2 linked regions of the Canis lupus familiaris genome follow. The protein of the gene in region 2 purifies or fractionates together with the protein of the main gene of each other region. This does not show direct contact. Links are inferred from orthologs where the notes say so. Each region holds a gene or a part of one and is shown on either strand. Other genes may lie near its edges. The genes, in order: HOXB6 and ANKRD17.

What was found.
Region 1: the proteins of ANKRD17 (region 2) and HOXB6 purify together in Homo sapiens (co-immunoprecipitation; 3 studies listed by BioGRID and IntAct, with this or other methods). This does not show direct contact. The link is inferred for Canis lupus familiaris from reciprocal best matches to the Homo sapiens genes ANKRD17 and HOXB6.

Annotation. Positions count from the first base shown.
Region 1 is NC_049230.1:24,810,853-24,815,245, forward strand, and holds the start of HOXB6 (homeobox protein Hox-B6), read right to left. Parts: upstream 2,934-4,393; 5' UTR 1,334-2,933; coding exon 919-1,333; intron 1-918. UniProt on the Homo sapiens protein: Sequence-specific transcription factor which is part of a developmental regulatory system that provides cells with specific positional identities on the anterior-posterior axis.
Region 2 is NC_049234.1:62,953,950-62,956,429, reverse strand, and holds part of ANKRD17 (ankyrin repeat domain-containing protein 17), read left to right. Parts: intron 1-99; coding exon 100-348; intron 349-843; coding exon 844-1,022; intron 1,023-1,442; coding exon 1,443-1,607; intron 1,608-2,480.

The sequences.
Region 1 (4,393 bases), on a different chromosome or scaffold from region 2:
CCACCCCCTTCCTCACTCCTCCAGCGCCCCCTCCAGATTCCCTCTGGGCCTCCCAAGCCCGTGCCTCTCTGGTCTAGACCTTTGGTGGGGGGATGGGAGGCGAGTTTAAAAATCCCACCTGAGCCTAGTGGGGAGGGGCCGGGGAAGCACGGCCAGGTGTGTCTCTTCCTAGCCTTATCTTTTCTTTCCATCTATCTGGCTTCCCCACCACCCTGTGATAGATTCCAGCCCTTAATCCGTAATGACGTGGATCGATCCACAGTCGGCATTAACGGCTCCTCACTTTCGTGTCCCACTAATGGACATCAATTTGGGACTTAAGGCCGACAAATAATCCAACCTGAGACCCAGGCGCCTGCTTCTCCCTCTCTCCCCCTCCGCCTGCTGCCTCTCCCGTTCTTCCCCCTCATTCTCCCTCCCTCCTCTGACTACCACCCCTTTCCTGGTGCCTCCTCATTCCCCGGCCCCGAACCCCCAGGGAAACACAGTCCCGGACAGACTGCACTCTCCCTCGCCAGCGTCACGACGCCCCCCTTCCCATGACGCACTCCGTTTTTAATGGAACCGTCTTCGGGTGGGGGGACCCGACCAGGGCTGGGGCGGGGGGGGGTGCGCGAGGGAAAGCCACGCCAGTGGCTGCGGCCCCTGCCCCCTCCCCGGCCCCGGGCCCCGGAATCGCGCTCTGGCGCGGCGCTCCGGGAGAGCCCACTCGCTCCCCCTGGTTCCCAGTGCGGCTGGGACTTTGCAAACTTTGTAACTCCTGAGGGCGAGAGGACAGAGCGGGAGACCCGGGACGGGCGCCCCGGCTTCCCTTAGCTCCTAACTGAGATGCCCAGCCGGCACCCTGGGGGCTGCCGGGGGTGGGGGGCGCGCTACTTCTGCCCCGGGGGGTGGGGGACCGCGGGAGGGCTCACTCACTGTTGCACGAATTCATCCGCTGCATCCACGGGTAGACCGGAGTGGAGCACTTCTGCTCTTCGGCCTCGCCGAACACGCTCTTGTCCTGCGCACAGTCGGACTTCCGCGGCTCGGGGTGGAACCGGGGCGGCTCTTCCGCGCCCGAGAGCGCGCAGGCCGACTCCTTCTCGCGGTAGAAGGCCGGCGCCGGCCCGTAGTCGCAGGGCGCCGCTCGGCCGTAGCCGCCGCCCGCGGGCGGGTAATAGGAGGAAGCGGCAAAGCCCTTGTCCTGACCGGGCCCGGGCCCGTAGGGCGCGGGGTAGTGCCTCAGCGGGTCCGCATAGCCCGACGAGTAGAGCGGTAGCTGGCCCAGGAAGGACTCCTGCCCGCTGGCCAGAGTGACGGGGAAGGTGGAGTTCACAAAATAGGAACTCATTGGGAGGGGAGGCGCGCTCGGCCGCTGCTGCTCCGCCGGGTTTATGATTTGTTGTGTTTTATAGTCCGAGCGCCGCGCCTATTAGTAGTATATCTGAGATTGGGTTTTAGCTGAGGGGGGATGGCGAGGTGCCAGTGAGGGCCAGAAGGAAATACAACCATCTGATCCAACACTGACCAATGGCAGAGGCAGGAATTGTCAAATAGCACCCAGGAGGAGCGCAGCCCGCGCGAGGGACCCGCGCACAAACCTATCAACCTTTTTTTTTTCCTCCTTCTTCTTCTCGTTTCTCTCTCTCTCTCTCTCTCTCCCCCCAACAACACAACGCGTCCTGTTCCACCTACGTAGGATCTGCGAAAGAGGCGTCTGTGTCTTGGAGGGAGGAGGGAGCATTTGGATTGAGACCACCCCATCCCCCAGTGATTAAATAAATATATCCCTCCCCTCCCCACGCAGGATAGGAAAAAGTTAATTGTGTTTTCAGAAAAGTTAACCCCTGCGTTGCTTGGACCCCTTCCCTCAAGGGAAGGGTGCCTAAACGTCCCTCTCTGCGTGGTGACGAGAGAACCAAAGGGAAAGACTTGTTTCTAGGGTTTTCTGTAGGTAGGAGAGAAGAGTTCACTATTTAGCATCGCTTTCAGGGGAGGCGAAGAAGAAGAAACACTCTCCTTCCCAGGTTTTGAAAACTGTTTTTCCTGTTTCTCAGTTCTCCTCTGCCTCCTCCAAGCCTGGGTTTATAATTCTTGCTTCTTCACAGCTCTTACCGGCTGAAGGGCAGGCCAGAGCCTGCTGCCCAGAGAACCCAGGAGGTTGGGAAATGGGAGGAGAGTCTGAGCCCAAGCTTCTCCCTCTGGCTCTGTGGCTAGGTTAGGCGAGGCTAGACTAGGAGCTTCTTGGAAGGCTGCTGCTGCTGCTGCTGCTTCAGCTGCCCAAGACATCCTGCCTGGTTGGAGCATGTGATGCTTGTTCTTGGCCCCTGAAGGGACACTGGGGAAAGGGACTAGCTAGCCTTCTCTTCCGCTTGCTGGGGGCATAGGGAGAGTAGGAGTGAGGGGCATCCCCCAGCCTAGGTTTGTCTAGGATAGGGATCCTGCCTGCCACCCTCGCTCCATCCCACCCCCTACGCCCCAAATCACTAGAATATCCTGGGCTACAGATTCTTAGGGATCAAAGATGTCTCAGTACCCCTGGGCACAGGGAAGAAAATGTTCTTCCTCCAATTCTGGGTCCTCAAAATTTCCTGATTTTTGAGACAATCAAAGACAACCGGAAAGAGAAAGGCCCTTGCTCCTTTTCCAGGTCTCTCTAGAAGCTGGCAGTTCTTTTGAAAATGAATTCTTTCTCAATAATTGGTTTGGGTTTAGTTTTCTAAGGAGGGAGAGCTGTCCAGGTCCTCCTGGGGACTCAGCAGGCAGCTTACAACCATCAGCCCGAACCCCCTTCTGTCCGCCTCTCAGGATCCCTCCAGTCCCTCCCACATCTCATATTTGTATCACCAGCTTTGCTGCTGCACAAGCTAGGATGTGAGAAAGAGTGCCCATCTCCGTTCATTTCTCTCTCTCTCTCTCTTTCCCTCTCTCTCCTTCTCCCTCCCTCCTTCTCCCTCCCTCCCTCCCCCCCCCCACCATGTAAGGAAAATGAGCATTGAAGCCAAGCTGGAAGACTGAACCATAATATATTTTCAACAATCTAACTATGCATGTGGAGGCCAGGCATTAAAGGGAGATAACCTTCAGACCTGGGTTCCGAAATGAGCCAGAATGTGTGGCAAAATCTGATGATAAAGGGGCCAGGCTGACTCTCCTCTGCCTTGTCCTTTGGGCTCCTTCTTGTGGGCCAGATTTTTGTCCACTGAAGATGGCACGAGACACGAGTTAAAGTGGTAGAGGGCTGAGGTTGGTGACCCGAGAGTAGGAAGCTGGTTGATTGCAAAGTGGCCTGCAAGGCTTCCTGAACTCAGGACAACTTCTAGGCTATAAATTCATGGCCGAGTAGTTATCCCTGCATGTCCCACCAACCACTTCCTAGTCAAACTCTAAGGAGGTGTTATCAAGATTTAAGAAAACTCAAGCATCCTAATGATGAATCCTAAGTGCCCCAGTCTAGCTGTAATTGGGCCCATTCCTAGAGAGGAATGGAGAACATTTGGTCTAGGGGAGGGGCAAGATCAGGAGAGTGCCAGTCTGCACCTCCCTCCTCTCTGCCACAGACCTTGGGCCTTGGACCACAACCATCCTGCCTCCTCCCTGACCACAATGCCCTCTTCCTAGAACTGGACAGTATGGGCTTTGCTACAGAATCTGGACTAAGTAGGATGCCATAAGGAAGGGCATGAGAAGCACTAAAATAACTGCTTGATCCTTAGAGTCACAGCCCCAAATTAACCTCACCTCTGCAGGTTGCCTGTCGTGAGATGGAGCCGCCAAGGCAGGGCCTGGGCGCCTGGAGTCCGGCATGAAAGGAAATAGCGCCTCATCGCTCTTATCTAAGCCCAGAGGTATTTATGAGCGTTTATTCGTCTGATCCGTTTGTTTGGGAGAAAGAGCAGACGGGCAGGGCCCGGCCAGAGGCCGCCTGGTTTCTGGAGCCAGATCTCTACGAATTTGTCTGTAGTTCGGTCCACTGCCGTCCGTCTGTCTCCAACGGGGAATATGTAAATACCCAGCAGGCACAGCTGTCTGCCAGTCCGGGGTGTCTCTCTCAGCCTCATGGAGAAAGTGTGTAGATAGAGAGGTGAACATAAATGTGTACCAAGTCTTGAGTACACAACAGAAGGACTGTACAGAAACCCCACAGGCAGAATTTATAATTGTAATTTTCTATGCTGTGAATATGAGCTCCTGTGGATGTGCACGCATTTTCATCTCCCAGGGAAATGTCCAAGTTGTGTTCAGCTCATGACTAAAATTCTCCTGTACTGGTAACCTCAGGAAGGGATTTTGCCTGGATGTGTACAGAGAGGAGGGGGGATTGAGACACTGTCCAAGCTTCTCATTTTCTCTCAGCTACAAAGCTCCCCCCACCTCCAGCTCATTGGGTTGTGAGCATCTTGCTCCAACC
Region 2 (2,480 bases):
AGAACACCTATTTAAAGTGTCCTCAGAATGTAAGATTTAGTTTTAGAAAATTATATCCTCTATAGATGACCTGTATATTTCAAAATATTTTTTCTCTAGATTCTCCTGCACAGTCTGTATCCTCTGGAGTTCGTGCACCGTCTCCTGCCCCATCATCAGTACCTTTAGGGTCAGAAAAGCCCAGCAATGTCTCTCAGGACAGAAAAGTTCCAGTCCCTATTGGGACGGAACGTTCTGCACGTATCAGGCAAACTGGAACTTCAGCTCCATCTGTTATTGGGAGTAATTTATCTACATCAGTAGGGCATAGCGGCATCTGGTCCTTTGAAGGGATTGGTGGCAATCAAGGTAAGACATGCTATCCTGCCTACTAGAAATTAAGTATATGCATTTAACTAAAATATTGTAAGTAATAAGAACAGTCATTCTTAAAAGATCTGTATTCATATCTCTTAGTTTTCACTAACCAGTTTTGAGTTCAAGCCAATTTTTGTAATGTGATCTCCTGTTGAATTTTTAATTGTTTTCTGAAAATTATCTAATGCAAGTATATTCCTTCTTTCATTTCATCATATTAAGGAGATGCTAATTTTCCTTTTGGACTCTTTATCTTATGGCTTTTTTTCTTTTTAAAACAATATTTAGGTTATTTTATTAGACTACTATATCACTACCTACACACAAGGGAAATACTGCAGTAAATATATAAAATCAGTCATTATTCTGAAGGAATGTACAATTCAATGTGGAAAATTCTAGATAGAAATATACAAAATATTTTGCTATCTTCTGGTTTTAAAGATCACCAGCTATCTTTTTTTTTGCCTTGTTATTTTTCCTTAGACAAAGTAGACTGGTGTAACCCTGGTATGGGAAATCCTATGATTCATAGGCCAATGTCCGATCCAGGAGTGTTTTCACAGCATCAAGCAATGGAGCGAGAGAGTACAGGAATTGTAACTCCTTCTGGTACATTCCATCAGCATGTTCCTGCAGGATACATGGACTTTCCTAAAGTTGGGGTAATGGTGACTTAAATGGTGACTTTCATATTTCTGAATGTTTTTCTTCTTATTAGCTTCATTTTCCTTACAAGTGGATGAGTACTTGTTGAAATGATTTGCAGGCTTTAGCCTGTGATTGTAGGCCAAAATCTGGCTAAAATAGAATTATTGGTATATTGGAATATTTATATTGTGGGATATTTATATCCCACTTGTTTAGAGAAATGTTTTTTGGTCAAATATTTTGGCTATAGTAGGCCAAAAGAAAAAAGAAATCACATAATGGAAAATAATTTTTAGATAACCTAGATAATATACTTTTCAAAATAAGATGCAGTTTCAAATATAATTTTTAAGGCTATCAGTTATATTGGAAAAAGTAAGCAGTGACTTGGAGATACAACTATGTGCCTAATTTTTGTTTTCTCCTCTTTTAAGGGTATGCCTTTCTCTGTGTATGGGAATGCAATGATTCCTCCAGTAGCACCTATTCCTGATGGTGCTGGAGGACCCATATTTAATGGCCCTCATGCTGCAGACCCCTCTTGGAACTCCCTAATAAAGATGGTTTCAAGCTCCACAGAAAATAATGGCCCTCAAACGGTAAGTCTGATCATTCAGTGAACATTTCTTTAGTGTTTTTGAGATCCCAAGACAAATAAGACACAGATAAATCATGGTAGTGAGGAAGTATGGTGAATATAGGTAGTTGAGGAAATTTAGTATAGCTGAAATACAACAGAAGGATATGGAAAATAGTACCAAAGGTAGTGGTTGGAGCTAAAATTATAAAAGGTGTATTTCATTGGGACCAGATGGTAAGTAAAAAATATTTTAAATTACAAAGTGTAATTTTATACATCAAAATTTACTAGTGCTGTTAAAAGGGCCATCTAGGGGTTATTTATTATTAGTAGTATTATAAATGTCAGAAAGCCAAAAACTCACAGAAATGCTTAGTATATTTTAGCTTATTTTGGTGTCTGTTTAATATCTTTGACTCCTATTCCTTTAGTCATCAGTCTATATGTGTTGAGGTAATGGTTTTTAAAAAGCGATGATAAGGGTAGCTCCGGTGGCTCAGCGGTTTAGCGCCGCCTTCAGCCCAGGGCATGATCCTGGATACCTGGGATCAAGTCCCATGTCGGGCTTCCTGTATGGAGCCTGCTTCTCCCTCTGCCTGTGTTTCTGCCTCCCTCTCTCTCTCTCTCTCTCTCTCTCTCTCTCTCTCTCTCTCTGTCTGTCTCTTATGAATGAATGAATGAATAAATAAATGAATAAATAAATGAATGAATGATGATAAATCAGATCCTGTTTGAGAAATAAGCAACTCAGGAAAACAAAAGTGACTTATCTTTGTTTTTCTTCATTGTTGCTAAGTATGTTGCAAATTGAATGAGATTTAGCTATTTTAGCTCATAGGTATTAAGAGCACTTCCTTAGGTTTTAAGAGTTTTAATCAAATATATGGTACAT